Linked DNA regions of Lonchura striata. The protein of the gene in region 4 interacts with the protein of the main gene of each other region in a pairwise test. Links are inferred from orthologs where the notes say so. Each region holds a gene or a part of one and is shown on either strand. Other genes may lie near its edges.

Region 1 (7,253 bases), on a different chromosome or scaffold from region 4:
ATCTGCCTCCCACATGTCGCCCCTCGCAGCAAACCCTCCCCGGGGAGGATTGCTCTTTTCCTGAGTGGGTGCTCCAACAGAGGGACCAGCCCCGGGCCTCGCTGACAGCTCGGGGCTCTTTGAAGATGCTGAGAGAGCTCTAAATATGCAAATCTAGGCACACTGCTGTGGCTCTAATTTAATGGAGTTGTTGACCCTCTGCAGCTGTGTGGGAGCAGGAAGAGACAGGCTGGAATGCGGCATCCCTGATTGACTATTCCAGCCACGGGCCAACCTCTGCTGGGCTGGGCTGTTTTAATGGCTGGGACTTGCTCCAAAATGCCATTTCTGAAGAGCAAAAACCTGCTGGGTCATATTTCTGTTTCGATTCAAAGAAAAAATTTAAAAGAGAGTGATAAGGGTGTAGTTCTAGGTAATTTTGCCCATAGCTCTAAGCTAAAGCAGGTCCAGAGCTGCCCTGGAAATGTCTCCAGCAGAGCAAAGCCAGCTCTGCCTCCTGCTCCAGGCTTCTTTCAGGATTGCATCTGGTTCCCAATGATAACTATGATGCCAATATCATGCTCCTGCCTGGGATAATCTCTCTTTTATTACATGTGTTCTGATGGAGACAAACATTGCTGGTTCTGCCTGTCCAGTTTCTTATGTAACAGCTCCCAGGGACAGAGGGCTGCATGGGGGAGAGATGCTTGGATTTTGGAATAAACTCCTTGGGCAAGAAACCTGCGATCTGACTCCCCGTCCTAAAAGGAGTCAGCTGAGAAACTCCCCCCTGCTCAAGCCCAAGCCATGATCGTGCCTGGCACAACCAGCAGCCTCCCCATCCATCCCCAAATAAAGTTCATCCACTCTGGGCAGGGCTGCCTTTGGCTTCCTACGGGCTCCTGATGCTGCTGGAGAGGTCAGGAGCAGGCACAGGACCGTGCTCCCTTTCCTGGCTGAGTCCCCTGCTGTCCCTGCCCAGCCCACAGAGCAGAGCAATCAGCTAAATGCTTTATCCCTCTGTGGCCAGTCACACCAGGAAAAAAAAAACAAAACAAAAAACCAAAAAAACCCAACAAAAAAAACACGAAACAAAAAACCCCTATAGTGATCCCTTTGCTGGCCTGACACCTTAAAGCCTCTCACTTCTCCCTGTCTTTCATCGGAGTTCTAAACTCCTTAGGATGTCATCACGTGCTCCATAAATAACAGATCTATATAAGCAGGGGCTGTGAGGGATGCAGCAGACAGAGGAGGGGAGGCAAAAACCCGGATCCTCCCTGGAGGCAGGAGGGCAGGGCTCAGCGACCTGGCTGGTGAGTACCCACATTCCTGTCACATCCCAGGGACACTGACAGCCTTGGGGACAGCTGCTGGTCCCCTGGCCACTGCGGCTTGCTCCTGTGTCCCATTTCCCCAGAAGGGTGGGAGGTTGGCATACAAGGCTTGGCTTGCTGAGAAGTGGTTTTGGCACAGGGCAGGGTGTGACTCTCATCCCAGCTCCTGTCTCACCCCTACACTTCCAACACGTGCTTCCAAAATCCAGCTGCAGGGACTCTTCTCACTGAAACCCTCACTGTTCTCTGGGCTCTTTCACACAGAGTATTTGATTTTAAGACTGGGTGAATAACTCTGTCCTGTCAACTAATTTTAAAAATCCAGCTCCAAAGCCAGGCAGACAATTCATAACTTAGTAAAAGATATTGCCAGGGGGGTTCTGTGCACCTGCCTGTTTATTTGCCTGTGAGCATCTCTCTGTACTGTGGGGATGCTCTCATTTCTGGTGCACAAACACAAGTAATGGCAGGAAAAATGTACAGAGCAAGCTCTTGGTTCAGTGCTATGACACACAGACACAGTGGGCTCATCTCAGGCAGGTCTGGCAAGGAGTCACAGCACAAAACCCAGCCTGGGGTATATGTGACTTGAACAAATACAGAAGGCTTTGTTGGAGCATCAGAGGACAGATAAGCCACGGAGAGGGAATTTTCCTCATTGTTGTTTCTCACTTACTCTGGGACCTGGGCAGAGTTTGTTTCACTTTTGCAGGTTTGATGATTCCCATGGTACCCCCGTGGCTGTGCAGGGCTCCTGGTTTCTCCAGGGTTAGGGAGTGCTGTTGGTTCCTCTGTGCTCTGCAGGTTCTATGTATCCCCCCTCCCCAGAAGACCTTATACTCTTCAGGGAGCTGAGAAGCAAAGCAAGAAGTTCATTTCCAGAAAACAAACAAATATATCAACCCTTCAGCTGCATAACCTGGGTTGTCAGCAATAATGTGCTGGAGGGGAAAAAATACAAGGAAAACAAGCAAGGAGCAAACTTTCCCCTTCCCTGACTACTGCTCCAGGGTGTTGCTGGTTGGGGTCTCAGGCAATTTCTAAGAATAGCTGAAGGGACCTGATTGCCCTTTCCCAGTTTTCTCTAACGGGATCGGAGCAGCCACTTAAATACAAGGTTTTGAACCTTCAGCTCTGTGGATGTCTCTGTAGAGACTTGCTGTGACTCAGTTGTTTCCAGCCTCCACATGCTCTGGGATAAAGACTTGCTCTTGGGCACTGAGCACTGAACGGTGCCTGCTGGAGAGCAAACAGCCCTGAGGAACCTGGGCAGGTGGAAGGTGTCCCTTCTCCCTGCAGGGGCCTGAACTGCATGACCTTGAACAGTCCTTTCCAACCCAAACCACTCTATGATTCCACTGTCCAGCTCTGTAATTCCCATGGGAACTGAAATTCTGGCCCTGCCTGCCATATTCAGCTGCCCTCTCTGCCCTGCCATACCTGCACAGCCATCCCAGCCTGATCCAGCAGCGTCCCCAGAACTCACCCCAGGCACTCAGCACCCCCAGGATCAAACCACCACTGCATTTTCAAGGTCCCCTGAGCTTACCCTCTTGCCTACTCTGGGATTTATTCATGCAAATGAATCCCTAATCCAATTAGTAGGACGAGGAGTTCCAGAAGATTTGATAATAAACTCTACAAACATTAGACCCACCCCCCACTCCCCCAGCACCCCACTCTCCCTGACAGCTCACCCTGCTTTACTTTCCTCCTGCAGGAGCATGAACCATCCATTCCCAGCATGAGTTCTGTCGGTCCTTGGTGGCTGGAATGAGCCCTGGGGATGCTAAATAATTCCTCTGCCAAGGAAACCCTCTGTCCCTGATGGATCTGCTCCCTTAGATACACACCCACAGCCAAACCAGCGATTCATTGAAAATAAATCCTGACCACCCTGTCTCACCTCGGGCTGCATAAGACTGGCATTTCAAGCATCCAGCCCTTGGCATTTCAGGATGGAAAATTCCCAGCTTGAGCCAGTTGTGCCCTGTGCAACGTTTGTGCTGGTAATGCTTTTGTTTCCATAAATCCTATTAGCTGGAGGCAAGCCTATAATTAGCAGGGAAAGCCAGCACCTCTGAAACAATAATCAAAAATGACCCAGCTTTGCTCTGTCTTCACTGGAAATTGCTTGCATATTGCTCTGAGTTTGGATGGATGGTCGAATGGTTGGCTCTGATAGCCATTCCCACAATTTCTGTCTGCAGAATGCGTGTGCTTGGTGAAGTTATTCACTCAGTTTGTGGTTCTCTCTGGGTTTATTAACTCAGTTCACTCACACGTGAAAGCAGAGGCAGATTGAAGCTACAGGCTCTGATCCAGGTCAAGGGATTTGTCTGGGCTGTGCAGAATGGGTCTGCCAGATGCCCTTGGGTGCTGGTGACCCTCTTGGAGGAACCTGTGTTGAAGGTGTTGAGGGTGGAGTGTCATGGTGTCCGGTGTCTGGTGGGATCATGCTACCCCAAGCTGCTGGGGCGGGGGGCAAAGCCTGAGGCCACCTCACCAGGGAGGACAGCCAAGGCTTTCAGCCTCAGTCACCTGCTCAGCCCTGCCAGGGAGCCACTCTGTGAGGTGGACATGACCTGAGAAACCAACAGAGGTTGAGCTGTGACACTCACCTGCTCAGTGAGCCAGAGAAAGAGGTAAATCCTGTCAGCCTGTGCTCTGGAGGAGGTGGCTCTGGCTGCCTGGTGTGTGTCCCTGTCAGGGCACCTCTGTGACCTCTGTGACAGCTGTGCTGTTCCAGAAACACCAGAGCATCACAGGGAACTTCCACACAGATGCTTCTTTTACAGCTCTTGCCTTCCTGTGGGCACATCCCACCCTGCCTGTCCCCAGGGCAGCAGCTGGACTTGCTGCAGGGTTCTCCTGCCCATCGCGCTGCCTGCTGCTGACATGTCAGTGCTGGGCAGGATGCTCAGCCCCACGCCTGCTCCAGCTCTGGCAGCTCTGGCCCCTCTCCCTGCTCTGTCCCACCACCGGATCACTGTGCTTTGTCCCCCTGCTCCCTGGGGTTAGCTCAGCTCACAGCCGCTGCCAGCCTCCTGTGCCCCTCGGCTCACAGCGCGGGCAGCTGGGCTCACTGCGGGCGGATATTTGCTGTCCATACAAACACAAACATCCACAGGAAAAGGGGGGCAAGCCGCTTAATCCTGTCTGCGAACAACAGCTACTCCCACTGGCTGACAGCGCTGGAGGAGCTCGGCTGGAATAAAGGCTGTGGGAGCCCAGCCGAGGGAGCGGTGGGAAGCCAGGCAGGAGGAGGAGGAGGAGGAGGAGGAGGAGGAGGATGTCGGCACTCGGCGCCCTGCCCTTCCTGAAGCCGGTCCAGCTGCGCTCGCCCCGCAGCTCGCCCGGGGGCCAGCGCCGGCACACGCTGCCCGCCAGCGAGTTCCGCTGCCTCAGCCCCGGGGACGCCGCCAGCGTGTTCGAGATCGAGCGCGAGGGTAAGGGCGACGGGGGAGCCTGCCCGGTGCCCTCAGCTGCACCCCTCGGCATCCTGCTTCCAGGCTCCTGTGCTCCTTGTAAAGGAGAATTCCCCTGCGGGTGCCCTCGTGGGAAGGATGCAGTGGCCGCGGCTTGTGGCCAGGCCACCCCGACGAGGTGGAGGAACTGTGGTTAATGAGCTGGAGAACCACGGCCCCAGCTCGCCCCGGGAGGTGATGCTGAGTAGGACCAACTGAGCGAGGAGCAGCTCTCCCAAAACCCTGTGGAAGGATAGGAAAAGGGGAAGTGGGAGGAAGGACACCATGCTCTGCCTCCTGCTGCACAGGGGCATTTTGAAGTGCCACCCTGGCAACCTTTCCCTGTTTCCTTCACCATAGGTTCCCTCACCCAGCCTATTTCTCCCTCCTCTCCAAGGGCAGGGGCAGCCAGGAGATGCTGAGAGGGAGGGCTCCATTCAGCACCTGCTGCTGTAGCTCTGGAATCAGCAGAGTTAGGAGCCGGTCACTGGGCCATGGGGAACTGCTCCTGGAGAAGCAGAACTGCTCCTTGGAACCATCTGTGTCCCTCAGAACTCCTTTAGCCCTAGTAGGCAGCAGGACACATGCCATCTCTGCCCATCACATCCCACTTTGCCTCTCCTACATCAGTGCTGGGAGTGTTTCTGGGTCAGGTGTGCTTTGTCTCTCTCACTGAGTTCACCACTGCCCCTCTCCAGCCTTTATATCGGTTTCTGGGGACTGTCCCCTGCACCTGGACGAGATCCGCCACTTCCTGAACCTGTGCCCGGAGCTGTCCCTCGGCTGGTTTGAGGAAGGGAGGCTCGTGGCATTCATCATCGGCTCCCTCTGGGACCAGGAGAGGCTCAGCCAGGTATGACCCAGCCCTTCCCACCTCGTGCACCACCAGGGAGGCATCAGCTGGTTTGAGGGCAGCAATCCAGGACCCCTTGGGGCACCTCAGCCTCAGGGGAGAAGGGGCAAATCCAGCCTCAGGTCATTCAGTGAAGGGGGGATAAAGGCAGGGGTGACTCTGCCCTCAGGCAGGATCAGGAGCTTCCATGAATCCAAGTGTTTTGGTTCTCCTTCTGCTAGAGACCCTCCAAACCCTGTCTCCTCCCAGGGAGGGGTTTGAGTGGCCCATCAGGGCACCAGCCCTGCCAGAGCCTGGGGACCAGAAAAAGCTCTCTGGGGCCCTGCTACTCCCAAAATCTCCCACAACTACCTGCTACGGGGCTGCTCTGGTAGAAACGAACTTTCTCATTAATTAATTCAAACCACGCAGTTAAAAAATATGCCAACCAATTCCCCTCAACATTCATTTTAAAATTAAAAACCCTCCGAGGACGATGGGGGCGAGGGATGAACAGGGATGGGGAGGATGTGGAGCCTGCTCCTTTGGGGTGGGAATAAGGAGCAGGACGGGACTCGCTGGTGGTGCCAAGTGCCGTTTCCCCCTTGCAGGCAGCACTGACCCTGCACAAGCCGCAGGGCTCGGCCGTGCACATCCACGTGCTGGCCGTGCACCGCGCCGTGCGCCAGCAGGGCAAGGGCTCCATCCTGATGTGGCGCTACCTGCAGCACCTGCGCTGCCTGCCCTGCGCCCGCCGCGCCCTGCTCATGTGCCAGCCTTTCCTCGTGCCCTTCTACCAGAAGTGCGGCTTCCAGGCGCTGGGGCCCTGCGGCGTGACCGTGGGCGACCTGGCCTTCGTGGAGATGCAGCACCCGGTGCGGGGACACGCCTTCATGCGCAGGAACAGCGGCTGCTGAGCCCCTGCCCTGCTGCCCGGGGGGATGAGAGGCTGCAGCTGCTCCCTCTGCCACATCTGCCCGCCAGCCACACCAGCCCGGCCCCATCCCATCCCTGCAGGGCTGGGCACGGGAATTCCTGCCAGATCCTGCTGGAAGCATCAGCTCCCCCGGCTCAGCTTTAGCCCGGGCTGTGCTGAAGCAGAGCTAAACTACCTGGGCTGTGCTAAGGCAGAGCTCAACTCCCTGGGCTCAGCTTTAGCCTGGGCTGTGCTGAAGCAGAGCTCAGCTCCCCGGGCTCAGCTTTAGCCTGGGCTGTGCTAAAGCAGAACTAAGCTACCTGGGCTGTGCTAAAGCAGAGCTCAAATCTTGGGCTCAGCTTTAGCCTGGGCTGCGCTGGCAGGTGTGGCTGGGCTGCAGGGCCACCAGCCCCCTGGGATGGAAAGGCTTTGCCCTGGGAACAGCTGGGGGCTCTGCTGGTTTGGGGACACTTCCACCCACCGTGGTTTGCTGAGACACCCAGCAGAGCCCCTGCAAACATGTGCCACAGCCTGGCACCCCTCCACCATCACCACCACCACGAGAGGAGCAGAGCATGGCCCAGTCCTCCTGAGCAGCCCCCAGACCAGACAGGGGCCATGGCAGACACCCCCTGCCCACAGACATCCTTCCAGCCCCCTTGGAGCACACTCCCAGCCCACAGCCATCCTCAGCTGCACACTGAGGAGCCTCCCCAGGGAAC
Region 2 (8,491 bases), on a different chromosome or scaffold from region 4:
CTGTCCCCTGCACACAGTACACAGCTCTGCCAGAGCAAGACATACTGGTACACCCAGAGAGTGACACACTGTCTACTGAGCACTTCACACTAAAGAGCAATCTGTCCTTGGAAACTCTGACATTTTGCCTTCAGATTTTGAAAAGTGTGGTGTTCCACTGCTATCTCTACAGCCCTGTGATATTATAAGGTCCCCAAAGTCAGCATTTACATCCTGCACCCTGCAATTGCCAGGGGAAGGAGAGCTCCTCACAACATGCTAGTTTGCATGCTGGCAATCATTAATTTATCTTTGTAATTTCCCAAAGACACCTGTCTTGCTGACCCTTCTGCAGACTCAGAAGGCTGAATAGTGTCCTGGGCTGACAGACAGGTGCAGACTGAAATGGAAGAAAATTAAACTGCACCACAATCTACTATGCAAAAGGATCCCCCCACTCACTGTGGAGCTGTACTCAGTAAAACCACATCAACACTGCATTTCCAGACTGATGGCTGTGGAGGACAAAGAGCAGCTGGGCACCCTTGAGTTTTGAGACTCACAGCTATCAGTGCATTCAGCTGCCAAGTTCATATCTAGGACCTTCTTGTCTTGATCATATGCATTTAATCTAGATAAGGTACAAATCCCAGGTAAAATGCAAATCTGCCTTGTGCTCAGATGGTGAAATACTGCAAGGCCCCCCCATACCACCACCTCTGTGCTTTGGTAACATGAAACATCAATCCTTTTTCTATGCAGAATATGGCTTGAAGCAACATCTGTCAACCTTTTGAATTGTTCTGTGCTGTTTCTCCAGGCTAGCAGCCCTGAACGAGCCACTGTGACATAGTGAATCTCAAGCACCCAGGCTGCGGGAAATGGTCCTGCTCTGCCTTACCCTACCAAGGACACTGCTTTATGCATGACAACCTGCTGCAGAGTCCAGTCCTGCTATCTGACATGTCTTCCATGAAGAGAAAAATGCTAATTTGTCCTCAACATTCTCAGTAATGTATATCCTGCCTCCTTTAGCTGATAGAGGGGAAAAAACTGAAGGCCTCAGAAATGCAATAACTCAGATAATAACAAGCTAACTTTTGAAGGGCAGAAATTACAAGGTCTTCAGAACGGAACAACCTTGTTCTGCAGAAAGCCAAATGCAATTAAAGCAATGTAAAAACTCATCAACTTTGTCTCCAGTCTATGTTCTTGCTTCTCCTTCTCCAGCTGCCCCCACTGCCTTACCCACCTCCTTTCATCCCTTTGAAACAGCCTTTGAAGCCCTACAGACTTCATTTATATTCAGATTTTACTCTTTGCTGCACTCCAGTGACTCCAGCAAACTGCATGTGTAGGTCACGTGCAGTTTCACAGATTAGAAACAGGATCCCCAGTCCATTCTGGCAAAAAAGAAATAAAGAGCAGCTAAACTGGATTGTTTCATTTTAAGATTGCTGGCTTCTGATAATTTCATGGAGCTGTTATGGCTCCTGCAGATTCTACAAAAGGTTTCCCTTACAGGAGTAGAAAAATCACTCAAAGGATAGAATTATAGTGCTGAAACTGATTATTGTTTTAATTTCTAAAAGCTGGTAAGCTGAGGGTTTTTTTTAAGTCTACTAAGTAGTCATTAAATATGTTTTAATTTAGATTATCAGTATAATTTCTTACATAATCATTGATCTGCTCACACTCCAAACTTACTTACAAAAGTAAGTTTTCTCACTTACTAACACAAGTGCCAACAACTTGCAACAGTGCCAGAATCTTTTTTATTTACTATCAGATAAAGGCAATAATGTTAATACGTGAGTATTCTTTGTAAGAGGAGTAAAATTACTCCCTACATGGTATTTGCAACCTATCGAAACTTTTAATCTGTCGTTTTTCACAGCTGGAAAACTTATTGCCTTTTTTTTACAGAAAAATAAAATGTCATTTTATTTTTGACAAATATTTGGAGAGAGAGTTTATGATGAAGTGTCACAAAGAAGGCATTCTTGTTTACCTCTAGATTATCTTTCACAAAATTTCCACTAAGCAAGAAGTTGAAAAAACCACCTTCTTACAGGGAAGGCCCAGCAGAGGTTTGTTTATGAGAACCTTTTTATAGCACCTTTGAGATTTCCCAGCATTTGCCTGGTTACATTTTTGAAGATTTATTACTAAATGCAATAATAAAACTACAAAAAAAAAAAAAAATCCCACAACAATGGCAACCATTTAAAATTAGGATATGCTTTCATTTTACTAAAACAGCTCACACTTTTAAGTGTAGTTAAAAAGAGTGAGATGGATCTTTTACCCAGACAGGACAGTCGTGTACCACCAGTCTGACATTTCCAAATACGCAGGCTTGATACTCAGTAAAAACTGGATTTCCAACGTGACTGGCAGACAAGCTGCTGTCGATCTGGGAAATGAGAGCACTTCTCCCGAGATAGCTCCAGATGAGACTCGGCTGCTGATTGTCCTCAGAAAAACCATCTCTTTCATTCCCAAAAGCTACAATATTAACCGACCTAAAATATAAATAATAAAGACAAAGTTGTGTTAACAAAGATGAAGGGAAAGAAAATAAAATCAAAACTAATATATTAATCCTTCTGAATCCTTTTCCCTCCTTACATTTTAACACCCTCCTGTAATCAACAGCAAAACACATACATGATCTCAAATCCAACAGCAGGGTGGGAGCAAAGCGGAAAAGAAACCTGGAAAGGCTGATTGCATTGCAAATCCCCAGCGGGTTTGGCTTGTTCAGCCTCGCTGCGGTGACCTCGGGGACTCCTGCCACATTCCCCCGGCTGTGGCCAGGCTGGATAACTCGGTGCTGGTTGCTCCGGGCGATGGACTGCAGCCGCACGCCGGAGCCACAGCAGCAGAAGCAGCAGGATCAGCAGCAGCGGCAAAAGCAGGATCGGAATCTGCAGCAGGATCGGGATCTGCAGCAGGATCGGGATCTGCAGCAGCAGCAGATGAGCAGCACCGCAGGCTGCGGTAGCCGCGGTGCTCCGGCGCTGTCGCGGAAGGCGATGTCGCGTCCGGCCGGGCGGTCCCGGCCATCGCATCCTGACGTCAGCCAGCCCCGCAGACGCTATGGCAGAGCGACATGACGTCTCGAGGGCAGGTACAGCCAGGTGAGCAGGGGCAGGGAAAGGCGATGGGGCAGAGCCGTGTCCCACCCCGCACGCCTTCTGTTGCCGCCCCGCAGGAACAGGACCAACATCCGCTCAGCAGGGGACGGTGCCACCGCTTCTCTGCACCAGGGGAGGGACCTGGGACTGCCGCAAAAAAAGGAGAGAACAGTGTAAACTTTCTCTTTTAAAGTATTTAAACTTTTTTTTCCATTACTATTTAAATAATATCTATCTTTTCAATAGTAGGCTGATTAGTAATACAATTTCTAAAATGCCACTCACGCCTTTTAGTGTTCATGTGATGTTTAAAGCACAGTTTTCCAAAAGGATGCTCTTCCATTGTAGTAAAACAAACACAAATCACAGAATGGTTTAAGTTGCAAGGGACCTCTGAAGATCACCTAGCCCAAAACCCAAAACGCAGGGTTACCTAAAGGAGTTACACAGGAAATATACCAAATCCATTCTAAAAATACTATTTGCTGTCACATACCACTGTATACACTAAAATAATAAAAAAAGAGTAAAAATATTTTAGGCATACTAGATAGTACACAAGACTCTGTGTTATGTGAACACATGCTGTTGTTAATCCCATGGGCAAGAACTCATTCAAAACAGGACTTGATACTATTATCAACAGAATAATTAATAGAGCTTTACTTGCAACAATCCATACTTTGAGAAAAGTACTATTCCACTATTTGCAAATTTAGGAGATGCCATTTGATGTCACTAACAAAGTTTTATATCGGTATAGTACTGAATGGCAAGACTGTTTTGATAAAAAAATATTATTATCTGCTAATGAATGCTAATTTATTACTTTTACTTTTATTATAAATTCTACAGGGACTACTGAAAAAGAAAAAAACCCAAAGAACAAAACAACAGATAATTTCCTAACCTGTTTGTTTTTGCACATTTTATCCCATCCTAGCTTCTGCTTTTCAATCTAGCTTTGCTCTAGAAAACTAAAAGACAAATGACAAGTTGAAGTTGTGGTTTTATTTCATCCTGGAAAATAGTTAGAATGCATATTTCATAGGTAAGTTTTAAAAAGTATCACAGTAAACCACTGTTTTTTTCCCCAGATGATCCTCTGACTGTGAAGTACCACTGTCCATATCCAAAGTCTCAGTGGTGCCCAAACCCTGGGTACATGATGTTGTGAGTCAACAGAGCATTCAACATTTTTCAACCATGACTATTTGTGTGCTTTTTAAAGGTCACTGAAGATCCCTTGGAATTCTTAAATTTATGCTTGTAGCAATCTACCTATCGAAAATGAGGAAACCTTTGCAAGAAAAGTTCTTCACATCACTAATGAGCCTGACCTGGTATAACTAAATGCATAGATAGTTAAATACATAAATAAATGTGAACATGCATATACAGACATAAATATGCATACACAGATTCATGTAGGCATATGTTTAAAATACATGCATGCATATTATAAATGCAACACACCCACATGTGCAGATGTGGACACATATATAGATGTAATACCAAGAAAAACTGAACTGGTAAATAAGGCAGTACTAATGAGGAGTGACCCAATTAACCCAAACTCCAATTAACATAGCTTATTCATTGCTTCAGACCTAGTCCTGCCCAGGGGTGACATGGGTAGGAGTACCAACTGAGATGGAGGGTCACAGAAAACATTTTTGTTTTCCTCTCACTTCCTTCAACCACCCAGGAAACTACTTAGGACTGACAGAAGTATCAGCTTTGGCAAAGTGTGCAGATTGTGGATGCAAGATACATCTCGGCTGATGAACAGCACTTAAAGCTTGCATACTAAAATACACAGAACTGTTTTAGTAACAGTTTTCCAGCAATCAGATGCCTGAAAACAATATTTAAAAAGCAAGCATTAAAATTGGAGAATGCTGTCTGTTCTGCTGTCAAAGTAGGTAAACTGTTTTTGCTTGCATTGCTCAGGGGTTGTGCAATGCATTTCAAATAAACAAACAAAACAAAACAGGAAAGGAAATTATTTAAACTTGGCAGGATAATAAATACCACAAATAGGGAAGTTGCTTGGCACCCCTACCCTAGATGCATTCTACAAGTTATACGGGCAATGCAAGGGAAAGCCGTAAAAGATTGTTTAACTGAGAGGATTACAGAGGATTGCTTGACTGTTCTCTCTTTGGCAATCAGAAAGCTGAATCCCCTCCTGTGATCAGCAAACCTTTTATCCAGCAGACATTTGCCATTGTTGCTAACAAAGACTAAACTGCAGAGAAGGGAGTCTTTGACAAGGTCCAGGAAACAATCACCTATTCGGTCCTGTGTAGTTTGCACTGGAACATTTTTTTTTCAAACCATTCTCGTTGTAGCTTTCTGGTGAGTACCTCAGATAAAGCACTGAAAACAAATACACAGTTGTTAATGACAAAGGGAAATGATATTTGCTAGTGCAAGGAGTAAAGTGCAAGCAAGTCAAGGAGGAGGATTTTTCCCTAGTGGAATCTGTAGCCTTACTTGCATTGATCCAGAATTATCTAGCCTATATTTTCAGGACAGTGAGGAGATTTAATGTACTTGAAGTCAAAGTCATTGCCAAACCTGCATATTAGCTGAATTGCACACTGCACAAAGCTCCTGCTGCTGCTGCTGATGCTGGTGTAGTCAGCTTTAGGTGCAAGAGAAAATGTGTTGCTCTAGAACAGGTAAATTTCCAGTTTTTTTTTTTTTCAAAGATAGAATATAATTCCAAATAACACTAATACACTTTGCTGTATAGACCTATTTCTCCTAATACTGGGAAAAAAAAATCCTGCAATAGGCTTGGTTTTACTGGTGCTTGTCCAGAGTAGACACGGCTGCTGCAGGATCTGCCAGCCAAGATCTGCTCTGACAAAGCACCAGCAAACAAAAATAAGGTTTTCTGTTGTAGCCATCTGCCACATCCCCACTAATAAAAGACATCTCTGTGTGTGTATGGGAAATGAATGGAAGGACAGTGCTCAGGACCAGTAGTATTTCTCAGCATAACTATGCCAGAAAAATCATGTAGTGTTGTTCAAACTTGGAAGCAATTTTTTAAAAAAAATTTCACACATAAATCACAGAATGGTTTGATTTAAAAAGGACCTTGAGGACCACCAAGCTCTACCCCACCCTGCACATTCAAGTCTGTTTCAGGGATGGCACAGGCACTTACAGTCAGAGCCCAATACCTCTCCAGCCCAACAGGTTTCACTGCTTTGTAGAGGTCACAGATGGAGGCATCAAGAAAAAACAGCTCAAATTCTAAGACTTTTGCATCAAGTTGTGGAAAGGCTATCCTTGGTCATATTCAAATTTCACTAAAGAAGTCCTTGCATAACCTTAGCCCTTTAGACATGTTTGGAGAGGAGGTTCAGTTAGATGGCCTCCAGAGGTCCCTTCTGACCTGAATTATCCCCTGACTGCATAAATCTCCTCCTTCCTGGAGAGTGACCACTAAGCCCTGTCCCTCACTTCCTCTTCTTATACCAGCTTTCAACTCCAAAACCAACCTCTCATCCAATCTTGTGGCAACTTATTTTCTTTACAAAGTTTAATAAGCTTTGCAAAAAGCTTCTCAAAGCTTTTTGAAAGTGCAAGAGGATTATTTTGCTCACATGACCTCCTTTATTGGCATACTTACCACCCTCCCTCCAGAAGCCAGTGATGCTGAACTTCACTGGAGCCTCTCCAACAGCTTCCCAAGAGACTGTGTTTATCCCTGGATCTCATTTTCTCAAAGACTGTGTCATCTCACCAGGAGTGGTAGCTGCTTCCACTGCTTTGGCATTACCCAGAGCTTGCTAAAAGAGTTTTTGAATATATGGTGGCCTCCTATGATACCCAGACCCCAGACACAATTTTTTTTCTTGCCAGTTTCTTATGACTGCTCTCAAAAATTTTATCTGATCCTGTCCATTAATTAACATATATTTTTACTACTTTTTTTTCTAAACTTAGTGAATGAGATCAAGTAATACCAGTGCTGATGCCACTACAATTTTTTGTCTTTTCTTTTATATAGTTTTTATTATTCTCAGTGCCCTTAGCATGCATACTTGTAATTCTTTAAATCTGATAATTTAGCATAGTCCTGGTATTCTGTTGGGCCACAAGACCAAACATCCTAAAGGACTCAGAGTTGGAGGCCAGAAATCCTACACTATCTTGAGAAATCTAGGTCCCCTCTAGAATACATCCTGTAAACTAGGATTAGGGCCATTGTGGGAATACTTCAGGACAAGGAGATATCATGCTATTCATTCAAGTCTCTCATTAGAGCATCTTTGATAGATATGCTAATTTACAAGGTGTATAAAGTTGTATATGAGATCTACTCTGTGTGTGCATTTCTGAGTATTCCACCTTGGAGGCGTGTCACACCATAAAAATCCTTATTCAATACCAAAGTAAAAACCCTGTATCCCTTAACCATGTCTGGCTCTTAATTTTAGTACCAAGGAATAAGCATCAGTACAACATTGAAACAGAAATATGAAGGGAGTGGGAAATTATCTATAAGAGGAGAAAGAGAAAGAAAAATATATGACACTTTTAAATTTAAAACCAGATCCATTTTGTGGCAGAACAGAGCTGTGCAAGCAACTAATAAGCTGTGGAAAGCTGCTAACCCTGTGAGGGTGAGATGTGGAAAACAAGAGCCAGGTCTGCTGCTGCAGATGTCCCACACAAGAATTGCTTGACAATCTTGTTGATTTTGGCAGTGAAAGAAACAAGGTCCTGTGCTATGAGGTGGGGACCCATCTCATGGGGTGCCTAAATGTCCCAACCTTCTTCAGAGGTGAAGGGCTGAAAGTACAACATGCTGCAGAAGAAACCCCTCTCACACTGGTGAAAATCCCCAGCAGATGCAGAGTTGCACCTTGCAGTTCTTATGTCATAATTTAATAAGTGTTACAAATTGCATTACAGTAAAGGTCAAAGGATCAAAAAAAAAAAAAAAGTAGTTCATATATTGTTTCTGCTATTCTAGAAAGGGAAGCCATTGCCACAAGGCAGACATACACCATTATGTCATGCAGAGGAGCATCACCTGACCCCAGCTTGCCCTGCTACCCCTCCCCATGCCTTGACTTGGACTTGAGCTGAGGCTGAGCTGCAGGGAGAGGTGGGCATGGAGCAAACACCACAAAGAATGGGGAAGTGGCACATGATCCTCACTAGAGAGCAGGGAAGGATCCCTTCTGGGGCTGCCTGGCCAGACATTCTGATCAAACCCCTTCAACAAATCTCTGCTGCCTGAGTGTCCTCTCCAAAAAGGCACTTAGAGAAGTACCACCCTGGCCAGAGATGCTGCTGTTATTTGGGGCCAAGGAAGGGATGGCATTCACTCAGCATTTTTTGAA
Region 3 (7,962 bases), on a different chromosome or scaffold from region 4:
AAACAGTCCAGAGGGAAGATGATAGAGAAATGAGTGAAGGAAGCTTCAATCCTTCCTTTCCTAACCTGCAACTTCTCAAGGTACATCCAGATTGGGAAAAATAAGATGGAACACAGTATCTCTTCATGCAGTCTGGGTAGGGAAAAGGTGCTTTGAAACTGGGAGAGAAGTAATGTGGAGAACAACTGGATAAAGAGACAAAACACAGCAGGAAGACAGGCCTTGGGAATGGGAGTAGGGAATGAAGAGGTACTTAAAAAGAATGTGTAAGTGGAAAGGGTATATTAAAAAGAAAGTTTATATGCAGCCTGTGGGGCAAAAAGGGGAGATACAAAGGTAGGTACCATGAGTTTGGCCTCCATAAACCAGACTAATTGTCCTGTTTACTTTATCCTGCAGTCCGTAGCAGTGGAACAAAGTGTTTTTGCATCTCTTGGTTTGTGTGAATAATATGTTCTTGGCATCAGCTTTGGTTTCAATGTGATTGGTTTTTAAACATAATTAGAAGTGTTTTTACAGATTTGTGTATTTCTGTTTAAGAGACAACAAAAAGTAATGCACAGATATGTTTTTTTACCAGAGAAAGATCTCTAAAACATTACTAGAATGGCACTACTGTCTTAACAGGAAGAACATGCATGGTGGATCATTGCAGAATTGGCTCTGAATGTTTGTCAGCAAAACCTCTGACTCAACAGAAAGCACAACCTGTGGTTTGTTAGCCCCGGTGACCTTGGTGCCTCATTGTGCAAGCTGTTCACAGGATCAGATACCCCAAAATGGAGCCTTAGATGGGGGAGGTGTTCAGTAATGTTTCAATTATGAACTTTCTTGATTTAATAATAATAATTCACTTTGTTTTTTCATTTGAGTTCACTGTGGAGGCTATTGTAAGATCATCAGGGACTCCAGGAATGCATGGTCCCAGTAAGCCAAGGGGATAACTCACATGCTCAGATGATGCCTGTAAAACTTGATACAAGAACTCCTTAAGCACATGCTCTGGTTTTCTGAGAGTGCATTAGTGGGACTTAACAGACACACAAATTCTTTCCTGAAGATAGGCACAGGAAAAATTACTCCACAAAGGAAATGCCTCTCCATAGAGGGACTCACAGCTGTGCTATGTACTCTTCCCCCTCACTGCACTCTGGTGCCTGAAGCCTTTGGGGAGCTGAGCTGTTCTTCACAGGCTAGTCTCCTATCTGTGTCCAGCATCTGCCTCATGTGTCTTGGTTTTCTTTATCTCAGCTGGCCTGCCTCCATGCTGGATTTCTTCTGGACAAGCAGACAAACCCAGTATTTTAAAGAAGTGAGTACACACCATTTCTGGGTTTTATGGGTTGACTGGCTGCTTCTCCTGTAGCACTTCTATGGCAATAATATAATCTAAGTATCTTGAAGGAACTTAGACAATCTAAGCCAGTGGAGGATTCGATGTCTTAACTTCTGCTTCTTCTTGTGTTTCCATGAGCTTATCTGCAAATTTAACAGTGCATCAGTGTCAGATTCTACTTTTCACAGATGTACACACATTTAATTAATCAGAATGGCTGTTCCATAGTTTGGTCAAAATAATATATAAATCGCATTTTTGTGACTTAAAAAAAGGCTTTGACACTTGCGTTAAAGACAGGGCTGGGGAATGATTCACCTCTGAAGGAAATAGTGTGCTCTTTCTGTTGTACCACTTCTTAAGCCACCTGACAAACAGCTTTGAGACCTGCTGCTGCACCCTAGAACATGTTTTGATGTTGCCTTTCAAGCGTTTAAACAGAAGATAGAGCCAGTTGTAAAATGTCTTACTTCTTTTTGATGAAAAAGAGCTTCAACTGGAATGTGATGAAGCCACGGCACAACTTTCTGGAAGGGCTGAATGTGCAGCTGGAGGTGAAGAAGTCGGTGTAGAGGCTGCCAAGCCAGACTGGAGCAGCAGTTTGGGTCAGGGGCAAACAGGGCTGGATGCTGCAGCTGCCAGCAGCTAATCCATGAAAAACCAAACACCAGTCATTTCTCTCCTTACTGCAGTGAGAAGCCAGCCTTGTCCCATGTTTCTTTCACTGTAGTTCTCCCTCTCCTTCGTCTGTCTTTCCTCTATCTTGTACGTTACATGGGTAATTGTTTATCAATGTGTGAAAATGGATAAAGGATGCAGTCATACTGCTGTGATAAGAATTTTGGAAAATGAGATCCATGGCTTTTACACTGTTGGCCTTGTGAAATTTTGGGACAGCTGTAAGAGTGCAAGTGCTGTGTTTTCAACTTGTATTTGTTCCCTACAGTGTGTTTTTAAAATTTTCTACACTCCTCAGGCATTGGAGCTTAACTTTCTTAGCCTTAGACTAAAAAGATTTATAAAATCACTGGCCACAACTTGAGAAAATGATTTTTCAGGAGACCTCATAAACAGGGAAATGACATAAAACCACGATAATTCACAGCAAAGCCATATGTTTAATTATTGTTGTAGCCATTTGGATTTAAGGATGACTGAACATCTTTAAATTATAGAGCATTTTTTACAAAAGGTGAACTGTGTAGTTTGTGATGAACCACTGCAAATATTCTGTGTACTATTTGAATGCCACTTCACAGTTCTGAAGAATAAAGGCTAAAGGAACTAGAAACTTTGTTGTTGATCTGTACCTAGTGATCTGCAATATGACTACAAAGTAAACATTCCAGTAAGCAAGTAAATTTTAACATACTTGAGAATCTTCAATAGAACGGGGATTATTTTCTCCTTTGTGGATTTCTTCTATTCATATCTGTACTGGGAAGGAGGCAAGGGAAAACATTTCCACAGAAAATAAGCCTGTTTTGCTTATTTCTTTTTAACCCTGCAACTTTTGAGCTGCTAAGCTAACTTAACGTGCTCAAAAAGTGATATTTAAAAGACCTCTCCCAGACATGTCTGTGGCAAACAATACTAGAGGGCCACTGAATGGCAGAAATACTTGGGGAAGAAAGCATGGGTTGGAATGCTTTTTAATCACTCAGATATGTTAAAATGTTTGTGGTCAAACCTAAAGAAAAACCATACCACTGAAGGCATCTTGGCAAGGTGCACTTGTGTTAAGTGCCTTGTGTGTCTCCTGTTTCTTTAACTGATAAAATAAAAGGCTTAGGAAAAAATGCTGGCAAGCCACACCATATTTAAATGAGCAGTTCAGAACCTAGAGCTACTGAGAAAGAAAGATCAGAGTGAACTGGTGGGGTGAGGTAAAAAAGGAGATGCAGTGGAAAATATGAGCAACTTCATGAAAAAAGGTCAGAAACCTGTCTTACTCAGAAGTAAAAATACCAGGGTGGAAGGGAGTAAAAGGGCTGTGAAAGTGCAGAGCCTGCTGACCTATAGAGAAGCATCTCTTTGTGAAAAGACAGAAGAAATTTTCAGTGGAAAGCCAAAAGCTCTGGGACTTGCTTTTCATGGGTACATCTACTCTAACTTCAGAGCACCAGCCCAAGCTCAAACTTGTCTCATGTTTGGACACAAGACTCTGCTCAGGGCCCTGGGTGAGCTCCATCTCTGGGAGGAGGTGGGGGTTTGTACTGGCTCAGTCCTTTATTATAACCCAAATGGTATCATACCATGCGCTTCAGATGAGCCTTTGCCTTCTCCCGAATTCTCCATTCCAGATCTCATAATTCTGTGTGGCAACTATCTCCCTCCTAGAAGTGCTTAATGTCACATTCCACAAAACCCTGCTGGATGTGTGGTGTGCTGAGTACGAGGCATTCACAGCATTGCCAGTGGTCCAGCCTGCTCCTTATCTGGCTAAGGGCAAGTCAGCAGCAGGGTCACACTATCTGCCTGCCACTGGGGCTTCCTCTTGGACAAAAAGGCAACAGTGGTTCAACCAGTACAATTTTAATTATTTTTTGTTTTTCTCCTTAGACTTTGGCATGCCGTCATAAATGGTTTGGCCAGACAAGGAGTGGGGCCAGCCTGGAAAATGCTGAGGGTGACTCCCTGTCTCTTGGCCTCACCAGGTGTCTCATGCTCCAGCAGGGAGGATGCTGCATGAGGTGTGGGCTCAGCACTGGTCTCACCAGGGCTTGCAGGACCAAAGGACACCTCACAGGGATTTGGTTAGAAGATATCCTTCTCATTGGCTGCTTTGCTCTGCGCCTGGTCTCTTGTCTGACCTCTGTCCTGTGACCAGCCACATGAGGCCTCATGTGCTGGGAGGAAAGAAGGCTGATGTTAGGCTGTGGTGGTGGTGGTAAAATTAGGGTTAAAGTAGGTTTTCTTCCCCTGCCTCCATGAGCTGTCCTGTGATTACTCTTGGGGGAGCACCCCAGCTTCCCCAGCAGTTGGGACTCTTCCAAAGAGGGAGAAGGACAAAAAATCACCAAAAGAGAATTTAGCGTAGCCTCTTAAACACAAGTATTCTTGTCTGAGATGCTCTGATATCATTAAGATGAATATGATATAAATAAGTAGATATGGTATCAGTGATGTTGAAGTTCATTGAAATGTTTGGTTAATAATACCTGGAAAAAGGTGAAGCTCTGTCAGTGAACTGTGCCCTATATCATGTGATTAACCTGAAGCTGGACAGATTTGTACATTTTCCTGGCCACAGGACTACCAGGTACCAGGTACCACCACACAGAGCTGCAGTGTATACACATAAATAAAAAGAAAGGTTGTGCCAAAATTCTTTGATGGAACAGTTTGCATTATTTAATGCCAAATCAGAAAGAACTGAACCAACTTATGGGACAATGAAAAGCAACTCATCTTCAGGACATCTTGAGAAAGGTGGAGATGAAGGATATTGCCATGCAAAATGTCCCAGTGGAGATCATCTTCTTGTTTGGAGCTGCAGGCTGTGAGGAGTGGTGCATGACCAGGTCCCTGTGCTGTTGCCTTTGCCTACCTCCAGGAAAGCGTCTGGCTGTTGCTGACAAGGGAGAGCTGTGAGTATCTGGGGTGACAGCTACTGCTACAGAAAAGGGGGAAATTACCTCCCCTCACATCAGCGGTTGCTGCCCTATCTCTCCAGCCCCGCTGCAGGAGTGGCAAGCCCTAGAAAAGCTCTAAGCACCCTCTGGTACCAGGTAAGCCAAGATCCTCTGACTTTCATATGTAGTACTCAATGAGAAGCCTCAGAGCATAAGCTAATAGACAACAGTTCTTTTAGTGAAACCTTTATGTTAATTCAATACAGACTACTTATGGAATTTCCCTTCTCTGAGAAAATCTCAACTTCTATAGAGAACAGCACTCAGTCTTGTTCTTTTTCTTTTCAGAATTTCAGAAGTTCCCTTGAAAATTCCCCGAAGCCTTAATAATAATGATTCTCAGTTGCATGTCAGAATGTAATGTACAATGTAAAGTTTTCACATTTGATGCTCTGCGTAGTTAAATTTACCACAGTGCTTCACATTCAATTTATCCCAAGAATTCAAGCAAAATCACATACTGTTCAACTAGAGATTTATCATGGGGTGCTTAACAATGAATTATTCAAGACTACCTAATGTATCGTGGTTTCTTGAGAGCCTAATGTGTGTATGTGTATATATTTATATATAAAATACCTGTGAGCCATTACAGAAAAACAGTTTCTGAACAAGGTTTCAAGAGTAAAATGAGAGGATGTTTAAAAATAGGTGTCGTCCTGAAAATACAGCAGAGTTTTAGAGAGAAGAAAACCTCAATAATCTTCCCTGTTCAGGTATACACATAGTCAATTAAAGAGGATCTATATCCTTCAGGACTCCTTTTAGGTGAAATTTTAAAAGTATCTAAATTCTGCAGTGAAGGTGGTGTTGTGTTTTTTTTTTTTTTTTTTCCTCTGTGCATATTGATGTGGCATTTTAAATCTCACTGAAAAGTTTTAAAGAATTTCCCTCATTTGCAGGTTTGAGAAGATTACTCTGTGCCTCCTACTAGCAATCATCCACAGTACTTTTCCAAAAGTACTTTACTGAGTGGGTAAGCACTTCCTTTTTACTGATGGAAAAACAGAAAAAGATGAAGTGGTCTGCCCGGGATAAACAGCTGGTATGCTGCCTTTTCAAAGCCCTTAGGATTGCATTTTTTACCTGACCGGGGGGCAGCGTGCTGGAACGACATTGAACTGGGCTCAAGGCAGCCCTTTGGCCCTTAGTTCTGCCCACTGGAGGGGAACCAGCTGAGGAGAGGCCCCAGCTCACAGCTGCTTTTTTGGCTGCTTTTTCAGAAGACCATGGAAATAGCTCCAAGGGGCCAGACTTTCAGTTCTTCGTTTTGTCCTCTGACCCAAACTGACTTTGCAATGACTGATTTTATGTTCAAGGGAGGATAAGCTGCCACCACATGATACACATCCCTGAGGACCTGTCTCCTCTTTGACACCTCATTGAGTCTTTCTTGTTAAGACAGTTGTGCTTGTCTGCAGGAATATAATAAGGGCACTTATTACATTCCTGTGCACATAGGTGTGATGAGAGGGCTGATTTTCACTGATAGGTGGGAGGTGGTTTGACTACTTCTATCAGAAGAAACTTTTCCTGCTGGCTGCAGGGGGTTTAATATGGTCTCATTTCAACTTGCAGGCTGGAGCATCTCTTTTGAACTTACTCAGGTCCTTGTGAAAAGATGAGTAGCCTAGAACTCCTTTGGCACCAGCAGCAGTTGTGATGGCTCTTTTTTCTGGAGGCTTCTTGTGAGAAAGGGCCACTATCTGACACTTTCTCCCTGATGACTCTGGTGATCACAATCTGAGGCTTTCAGACAATGAGTGGCAAAGAAGGATCTAGATGCTAAGTGCCCCAGAGCCTGCAGGACAGACTGTAAGGGAGAGCTGAGCAGAACAAGTAGAGGTTCAGACCCAGCTTCAGAGGTCGCAGGGTCCTGGGTTTGTGACTGGTCAGACTTGGTACACGAATTTATGTTTGTGGCACTTGTAGGATCATATTCACGCTGCTGCGCTTAGAGTAACAGCAACTCTGTTCTTTAGCAAGTCAGAGTCCCAAGTCTAAAAGCCAGACAAAGGAAGAACAAGGGAGGGGGTGGAGGGCGGGACAGACAAGGGAGAAGACAAGCACTGTCTCTAATAATAAAGAATCGTCATTTGCTTGTCCAATAGGAGCAGCAGAACACATTTCTCCTGAAGATACTCTTTGCGGGTCTGATTTTTCCATGAATCTCCAGTTCAGCAAAGAATACTTTATCTTACCCTAACCACCAGTTGCAAACTAGCCAGGGATTTCACTTACATTTGCTTCTCGTGTTGCCTCTGGGCAGGACATAGGACAGGTTACCCACAGCAGAGAAACTGCCACCACTGTAAGCTGGAAGTGTTCTCAAGGTATAATTTAAGTGAACTCAAGAGGAAAAATAGCCCAGAGACAGCGCCTGTGGCCAAAAGCTCAGGCAGAAGTGGTGTCATGTCAGTCCACAGCTATGCAGCGAGCTACTCTGCATCTTCCTGTCTTGGTTTCTCCCCTGTGAAATGGGGATTAAAATACCCATCTGTCTTACAAACATGATTATATGTAGGTTGAAAGAACTCCCTGTAAAAACCTTGAAAACTGTGGGAATGGTGGTCCTGTTTGCTTTAAGGCAAGATGTGGTCTGGACACTGAATTCCAAAGGGCAAGACATAGCAGGGCCAAGGTGCTCACAGCTGAGCACACAGACTGCCAGGGGAGTGCAGGCACGGGAGAACACGGAGGTGATGCAAGAAATATTTATTTGGGTTTGTTTGCTAAAGACATCACGTACTGGCTTCAAAAGAAAAACCCGATCGAAAAACCGAGTGGCAATGAAAAGTCGCCAACACTGCTTTGTCGGGGAGTTTGGGTGACAAGAAAAAAAAAAAAAAAAAAAGCAAAGAAAGAAAAAAGGGAAAAAAAAAAGAAACGTCAAATTCCCCTTCTCAGTACCCAAAGCCCAGCGCGGTCCCCCCCGTCTTCTGGAGGGCGGCCCGGCGGTCCCCTACCCGTGGCGTGGGAGAAAGGAGGGCA
Region 4 (7,676 bases):
CACAAAACCCTTCTTTAATCTTTTGGAAGCAGTTGTCAATCGCTAACCTGGGCACATCCTTCATCCCTCTCCAAGCTACCTGACAAGTCAGAGAAAAGGGATTTAGCTTCCTACGCACAGTGAACCTTGTCCCCACACCTCAGTCCAGCCAATATATAAAAGTGAAACAGTCTCTCAAACTAAAAAAAAAACAGAAAAAAAAAAAAAAAGAAAAACCAGTCACACTGCGCTCAGTCTTTGGTTTCCAAGTTCAAAGGAGGAATCTGCTTCAAAGCTTGAAGCAGAGCCGAGGAGTCGATGGGGGAATGGGCCGGTACAGGAGAAGGGAGTCTCTGGGGCATCAGCAGAGGGGGGGAGATTTTGTCGGGGTTCATGAAGCCCGTCAGAGCTGCGGCAGAGGCCGGCAGGCTGGGGTACAGCACGGGGACCGAGGCCGGGTACCAGCACTTCTCCAGCATGGGCAGGTAGGCGGTGGCGGACGGCGGGATCAGGTAGAAAGGCAGGCACAGGGGAGGCTGGTGAGCGTGGGGGCCCAGGAAGCTGCTGGAAGAGCCCATCATGTCACTGCCAAAAGGGCCCTCGTCCTGCGGCAACTCCAGCCTGCTCCTTTTGGCCGGCGGGTCCTCAGTCTCTTGCTTAATAGAGCTTATTCTCTCCTGGACAGCGTACTTGAGGTCGGTATCCTTTTTGAAATAGGGCTGCTCCGCTTTGGAGTCGCTTTTCTCCAGCTCGCCCCCGTACCCGCTGTCCGTGTCCGTGTCGCTGCCGCTCTGCTCCCCGCTGGAGTGAGCGAATGTCCGCTGGATCACGGGCACGCAGTTCTTCCCGTGGCCCTCGCCCGCCGCGCCCAGCGGCGCCGGCTTCTCCTTCAAGTCCAGCATTTTGGGAGGGATGTCCCCGGCCTTGCGGGCGGCCCCGCCCTGCAGCACCTCGCTGGCCATCCGGTGCAGGTGGCTGACCAGCTGCGACGACTTCAGCTCCTTGCCGTTCTCGTGCTTTGCCAGGTATTGCAGCATTTCCTTGGCACACATCTGGAAACCGGATCGAAACATTTCCTGGCTGGAATCAAGGTTTCTCGATGACAGGTCACCTAAGGAAACATTAACAGAAAGAAATTAAAAATTAACAACATGCTAAATAGTTCCATTTCCAGCTCCGAGGCGGACCGGAGGCGACGCTGGACTTGGGTTACAGCACGGCCAGAGGGGAAAGCACTGGCCAAGCTGGAGTCTATGAACAGAAATCCCCAGATTTCTGCAGAAATGGACAATTCCATTGGAACATCCACCTGTCCGCTTTTACATAAAAAGTTCACGTAAAGTGCTGCCTGCTTTTTTTTTGTTATTTACTGTAAAATCCACCTTCAACAGGTACTGGAGTGCGGGGAGGGGAGTGAGTCAAGCTGTGGCTTCTCCAGGAAACCCCCGGGGAAGGCAGGGCACCTCGCCCTGCACCTCGGGGCAGGGAGCTCCCGGCCCTGCCAGCAGCTCCACCAGCCCCAGGGGACTCCACTGCTCCACTGCACTCCCTGTGGCTGCCGGGGCAGGGACGGCACCTCCCAAAAATTCGGGTTTACTGTGTCTGATTCACGTGAGAGCCACATGTGAAAACAGCAGGAGGAAGTGCATCTAAGGCTGATAAGCTGAAGCACCGGGTCCCCTCTGCCTGCAGAGCACAGGCCAGCTCGGTTATAAAGAAACTTAAAAAGCTTAAGGTTATTTGCTTTCTATACACACTTAAAAAGGTGTGTATAGAAAGCAGATTTATATCTATTTTCAGAGAAAAACAACCAAATAAACCAGACTGCGTCACAAGCACAAATGGGAAGAATCGAATGGCTTTGGAGAGAACCTCACTGCAAACCTGGGCTGCAACTAAAACTACTTAAAACCCAGTTTAATTTCAAACAACTCCCAGGGCACTCTGCATTGACCATCTTGAGCAATGCATCATTTTTTGTGAAAGCTCATGAGCAAAGCCTGAGAAAATGACAGCAGGAAAAGCCAGAATTCCTGTCCCCTCCCTTCTCGGTACCAGGGTGTCACAGGCACATTTCACAGGCTCCCCAGGGAAAGCCCATCACACACACACGGGCTCCCACCCTGCCGGCCGGACACTCACCCGCCTGCAAACCGCTCTGCAAAGCGATGATCTTCTGCTGCTGCTGCTCGATGAGATTGGTCAGTGCCTTCACGTGCTTCAGGGTGAGCTCCAGAACCACAGCCTTCTCCAGGTGCCCTAGAGTCTGGGAGCACAGGGACAGGTTGGCACCCGCCGCCGGCTCGGCCAGGCACGCAGGAGCCGCCGGTGCCTCCCCGGGAGCCGCGGGAGGACGGGCACGGTGAGACCCGGAGCAGGCGGGACTACCGCCGGCAGCATTGCACGGAAATAAGTTAAAAAGCCGGCTACGGAAAAGGCTCTCACGGAACCCTGTGGGTACTTTCGGACCAGCCGCATAGCCCGGAGAGAAGCGTTTTATTTCTGGGTCCTGCCGCCCCTGGCGTGACCGGGGCGGCCCGGCCGGGGACAGCTCTCGCCCGGTGTCGGGGGCGGTCCGGCGGGCAGCCGCAGCTCCCGGGGAAGTTTGGGACGCGCTTACAGCCTGCCCGGGCGTGCGGCACCACGGTGGAAAAAAAATAAAAAATAAAAAAAACCCCAAACCCAGCCCAAATCCGCGGTGAAGCGGCAGCAGAGCGCTGGGAGCTCCCCCCGTCCCTCCGCTCGCACCTACCGTCAGCTTGAGGTGCTCGGGCAGCAGGTCCTTCAGCTGCGCGATGCACTCGTTGATCCTGTCGCGCCTCTTCTTCTCGATCAGCCGGTGCGGCAGCTTGTAGGTCTCCTGCGGGGCCGGGGCAGCGGGTCAGCGGGGGGACAGCGGGGGGACAGCGGGGGGACAGCGGGGGGACAGCGGGGGACAGCGGGGGACAGCGGGGGGACAGCGGGGGGACAGCGGGGGGACAGCGGGGGGACAGCGGGGGACAGCGGGGGGACAGCGGGGGGACAGCGGGGGACAGCGGGGGGACAGCGGGGGACAGCGGGGGACAGCCCGGCCCGGCCCCGCTGCCGCCGCTCCTCCCGTCCCGAGCGCGCCGGGAGCGGCCGAGCCCCCGCCCCGGGAGCGCTGTCACCGGCCGACTCACCCCGTGAACCCCCAGTTTACCCCGTTAATCCCCAATTTACCTTCTCACCCCTCACTGTACCCCATCACCCCCCATTCACCTTGTTGTCCTCGCTCCTCTTTAAGCCCCTCCGGGGCTTGTACACCTGGTACATGTGCGCGAAGTCCAGCCTGCACGGGCGAAAGGAGAGCAGCGCGTTAGCCCCGCGCCGGAGCCGGCGGCGCCGCTCCCCCCGGAGCCCCCCGAGCCCCCGAGCCCCGCTTACCCGGGCAGGTCTCCGCTCTCCAGGGCGGGCAGCTTGCCCAGGCAGCCGGGCGGGGGCTGCGCGCCGGGGACGCGCTCCATGGCGGGGCCGCGGCGGAGCGGGCTCAGGGGCTGCGGGCGCCGCCGCCGCTGCTCATGCCGCGCCCGCGCCGCGCGGGCTGAGGAGCGGCGGGCGGCCGCGGGCCGGGTTAAATGCGGGCGGGTGGGTGGACGGGAGCGACGCGCGGAGCCCTGTGACCGCCGGCACGTCTGGCGGCCGCGCCCCCGCCGCCGTCACATGAGCCTCACGTGGCGCCGGGCGGGCCGGCTCCGCGCCCCCGCACGTGCGGCGCGGCGCGGCGGGGCCGGGCCGGGCCGGGCCGTGCTGTGCTGTGCCGTGCTGTGCCGGGCAGTGCCGGGCAGTGCCACCGCTGCACTGTGCTGTGCTGTGCTGTGCCATGCCGTGCCACCGCTGCACTGTGCTGTGCCAGCACCGTGCTGTGCCAGCGCCGTGCCGTGCCGTGCCGTGCCGTGCCGTGCCTTGCTGTGCCATACCAGGGCATACACTGCTATACTGTACTGTGCTATACCGTGCCATGCTGTGCCATACCATGCCATGCTACATACCATACCATACCATACCATACCATACCATACCACACCATACCATACCACACCATACCACACCATACCATACCATACCATACCATACCATACCATACCATACCATACCATACCATACCATACCACACCATACCACACCATACCATACCATACCATACCATACCATACCATACCATACCATACCATACCATACCATACCATACACTCCATACTGTGCCATACAATGCCATACCATGCCGTGCTATACCGTGCCATACTACGGTGTGCTATACCATGCTATACCGTGCCATGCTGTGCCATACCGTGCCATATATTGCCTTATGTGCTGTGCCATACCGTGTCATACCATACCATACCATACCATACCATACCATACCATACCATACCATACCATACCACACCACACCACACCACACCATACCATACACTCCATACTGTGCCATACAATGCCATACCATGCCGTGCTATACCGTGCCATGCTATGCTGTGCTATACCATGCCATACCATGCCATGCTGTGCCATACTATGCCATACACTCCATACCATCCCATACACTGCCATACCATGCTGTGCCATACCATGCCATACACTGCCATACCGTGCCATACTATACCATGCCATGCCGTGCCATGCTGTGCCATGCCGTGCCCTGCCATACCATGCTGTACCGCTGTTGTGTCCCGAGATCGGGGAGAAAGAAAAAAAAATAAAGGAAAAAAAAAAAAACAACAAAACACCCCCAAAGAGACACAGACACAAAACACGGACACAGAGAAAGCTGCAGCCACGGAAAGTTTGGAAATGTGGGGGAAGAAATAAAGTGAGAGTCGCTAAAATGTGGCTCTGGGGAAGTGGCAGTGCTGCAGGGAAGTTTTGGGGTGGGAGGACCCCATCGCTGGGGGTATCCAGGGCTCGCAGCAACTTGCTCCAGTGGAAGGCATCCATCCCTGCCCATGGCAGGGGGCTGGAACGAAGTGGGCTTTTACGTCCCTTCCAACCCAAACCATTCTGTGATTCTTTGACCAGCAGGAAATTCTCCCCTGTGAGGGTGGGGATGTGCTGGCACAGGTTCCCAGAGAAGCTGTGGCTGCCCCATCCCTGGAAGTGTTGCATGGAGCAACCTGGTCTAGTGGAAGGTGTCCCTGTGCATGGCAGGGCGTGGATGATGGTAACTTTAAGGTCCCCCCAGCCCAGACCCTTCCATGCCATGCCATGCCATGCCCGTGCCAGCCCCTGGACGCCAGCGGTTGCACAACGCCGAGCGATGACAATGGTTTGTGTGTACCTGCCAAGGCAGAGCTCTGCTGGAGGGCCGTGGTCACTTCCCTGCTGAGTGCTGAGCAAGTAGAGGCAGGCTTAGCTGATAAAAGGTGCATTTACCAAGATAAGGGAGCAGCAGAGCTCCAGCACTGAGCTGCTGCTACTGCCTGCAGAGTTCTGGCTGCTCCACCCTGGCAGGAATCCGAGGGCAGGAGGTGCTACATGACAGCACAGAGAGGTTTTAGATGGGTGATGGAGACAGGCTGTTTGAGGCTTACCCCCGCCCAAAGGTGTCTGTTGTTACCAGGAAGAATCCCAAGGGAAGTCAGAGCCTCAGAAAGATGCTAGCCATACATGCAAGGTCTATAAAACCCCCAAATCTCCCCTACAAGCTCCCAGCAGCACCTCCAGTGTGAACACCACAGCACTGGATCAGTGACGTGGGGCTTCCACAGAACAGATGTTTGGGTTGTCCCACTCAACATGGTCCTCCCAGCGTTTGACATCCCAGCCTGCAAACCCGGTGATTATGGCCAAGATCATGGAATCCCAGAATGGTTTGGCTTGGAAGGGACCTTAAAGACTTCTCAATCCAACCCCCTCCATGGGCAGGACCCTGAGGGTCTCTGTGGTGCCACAGCCCCGGCGCCGTGCAGGAGAGGAGCTGGGACTGAGCACGGAGCTCGGAGTGCCACAGAACCACAGCAGAGCTGTGACCTCCCACAGCAGAGCTGCTCTTTCCTGCAGGCACTGAACAAACTCGGCAAGAAGCATCAGGGGACATGAGGGTGATGGTTTCTCCCCTGCTGCAGCTCAGGGGACCAAAACCAGCCTCAGTATCGAGCCCTGGAGCAGAGGGTTTGCTCTCTCTGTGTCCCCAAGACCAAAGCTGTTCTTTTCCAAACAAAGAGTGAAAAAAACACAGGCAATTTTTCATCTGTCCCATCACTGACCCTTCATCCAAGGCAACAGAAATAATTAGAGCTTGCTACAGCCTTTTGCTAATGAAAAATGAGGTTTGGGGCCAACCTGCTCTGCATTCGAAGTTCAAGCTCCAAGAGTACGTGGACGGCTTCATGCCCGTGGATTGTCTGACTCCTGCATGCTCCTTCAGATATTCGGTACATTCCTGCAGTGGGTGGTGAGCCACAAATCAGGGTCAGAGGTAATCCCCAATTATTTAGCCCTTTTACTGTTCTCGTGCTTGCCAAACAATTCTCCATATCAGGATTTGCTCATGACCTTAAGGGACGTTGCCAAGGATTTAGGAGTCCCCCTAAAAAGGAGGATCCAAATGAAGTTATTGCATTCTTGGGCATCAAGTGAGATTGCTCGAGAGTTGAGTTACATTTTCCCGGGGATCAGTTTTCATGAGCAAGGACTGATGCAATCATCAATTCGCCTTCTCGCTTGTGTTTGCTGAATTATTTCTACATGGAGGGCTCCTTTACACCACACGATTCAGGCAGTACCAAAATGTTTAAAAAGGCTGAATTCCCTCAAGCCATCCGTGGAGCAGCAGCTCTCCTGAGCACTCCTCCAGCAGGGCTGGGAGTCACAGGACCGCGACAGCTCTGTCCAAGGGGATTTGCAGCTATTTACAGAGGCACGAGAAGGTGAGAGTCTGGGGGCTGGTTTGGGGGTGGGCTGGGAATCCGAGACTCAGGATCTGCCCCTTCCCCGGGACTGTCCCCTTCCGACCGCAGGGATTTGGGGGAAAACGTTCCAAAAATCCCTGGCACTGCTGTCTGATGGAAGCCTATGTGGGCAGCGCCGGGAGTTAACAGATGGGTTGTGGATTCGAGCTTACGATAAGGTTACTGAGGGTGGTTTTGTTTTAAAATGTCTCTTACTTAATATATCCATGAAGGCCAGGCATGTGCCTGTGGCCTGTAATCAAATCGCTGACTCTCCCCTCTCCCATTTCCAGCAATCCCGGCTCGGGTTACTGGCACCGGAGGTGAAAGCTCAGCCCCGCCGAGGCTGGAGCGGGATGCGCTCCGCCTCGGCATCCTCGGCCCCGGCAGGAACACCCCGTGCTTTCCGCAGCAGGAAAAGCCCAGCGGGAGCCAGGCTGGCTCCGGCAGAGCTGGAGCGGGGCTCTCTCCGTGCTCAGCAAACGGGACGGCTCCGCTGCGCTCCCGGGCCGGAGCGGAGGCTCCGGCGGGGACGGGCAGCGCCTCCATCCCCGAGGATGTGCGGGCAGTGGTCCTGCAGAGTGCGGGCAGGGGGGATGTGGCCAGGCAGCAGCTCCCAGGAGAGCCGCACCTCTCCTTTCCCAGCCCCGTGCCCGAGGCTGTGGCAGAGCCCACACCCCTGAGCCAAGGCCGGTCCCAAGGGACGCCGTGGGACCTCAGCGCAGGGCGTGAGGAGCAGCTTGACACCCACCAGGGCTCCGCCTCAGCCTCCTGGGAGTTGCAAAAGCCCGA

The links.
Region 1: the proteins of BHLHE40 (region 4) and AANAT interact in binary tests that used the Homo sapiens proteins (3 or more experiments, as listed by UniProt). The two-hybrid records come from large-scale screens. The link is inferred for Lonchura striata from reciprocal best matches to the Homo sapiens genes BHLHE40 and AANAT.
Region 2: the proteins of BHLHE40 (region 4) and RHOBTB3 interact in binary tests that used the Homo sapiens proteins (3 or more experiments, as listed by UniProt). The two-hybrid records come from large-scale screens. The link is inferred for Lonchura striata from reciprocal best matches to the Homo sapiens genes BHLHE40 and RHOBTB3.
Region 3: the proteins of BHLHE40 (region 4) and HIVEP1 interact in a two-hybrid assay, tested with the Homo sapiens proteins (2 studies listed by BioGRID and IntAct). The link is inferred for Lonchura striata from reciprocal best matches to the Homo sapiens genes BHLHE40 and HIVEP1.

Annotation. Positions count from the first base shown.
Region 1 is NC_134621.1:4,057,698-4,064,950, reverse strand, and holds AANAT (serotonin N-acetyltransferase), read left to right. Parts: upstream 1-4,608; coding exon 4,609-4,765; intron 4,766-5,481; coding exon 5,482-5,636; intron 5,637-6,226; coding exon 6,227-6,532; downstream 6,533-7,253. UniProt on the Homo sapiens protein: Controls the night/day rhythm of melatonin production in the pineal gland. Catalyzes the N-acetylation of serotonin into N-acetylserotonin, the penultimate step in the synthesis of melatonin.
Region 2 is NC_134642.1:53,371,373-53,379,863, forward strand, and holds the start of RHOBTB3 (rho-related BTB domain-containing protein 3), read right to left. Parts: upstream 3,234-8,491; 5' UTR 3,054-3,233; coding exon 2,650-3,053; exon of another isoform or gene 2,613-2,649; coding exon of another isoform or gene 2,611-2,612; intron 2,505-2,610; coding exon 2,288-2,504; intron 1-2,287. UniProt on the Homo sapiens protein: Rab9-regulated ATPase required for endosome to Golgi transport. Involved in transport vesicle docking at the Golgi complex, possibly by participating in release M6PRBP1/TIP47 from vesicles to permit their efficient docking and fusion at the Golgi.
Region 3 is NC_134603.1:91,367,408-91,375,369, reverse strand, and holds the start of HIVEP1 (zinc finger protein 40), read left to right. Parts: upstream 1-4,538; 5' UTR 4,539-4,926; exon of another isoform or gene 4,927-5,067; intron 5,068-5,873; 5' UTR 5,874-5,947; intron 5,948-7,962.
Region 4 is NC_134614.1:23,080,873-23,088,548, reverse strand, and holds the start of BHLHE40 (class E basic helix-loop-helix protein 40), read right to left. Parts: upstream 3,503-7,676; 5' UTR 3,465-3,502; coding exon 3,385-3,464; intron 3,290-3,384; coding exon 3,220-3,289; intron 2,840-3,219; coding exon 2,732-2,839; intron 2,246-2,731; coding exon 2,122-2,245; intron 1,091-2,121; coding exon 231-1,090; 3' UTR 1-230. UniProt on the Homo sapiens protein: Transcriptional repressor involved in the regulation of the circadian rhythm by negatively regulating the activity of the clock genes and clock-controlled genes.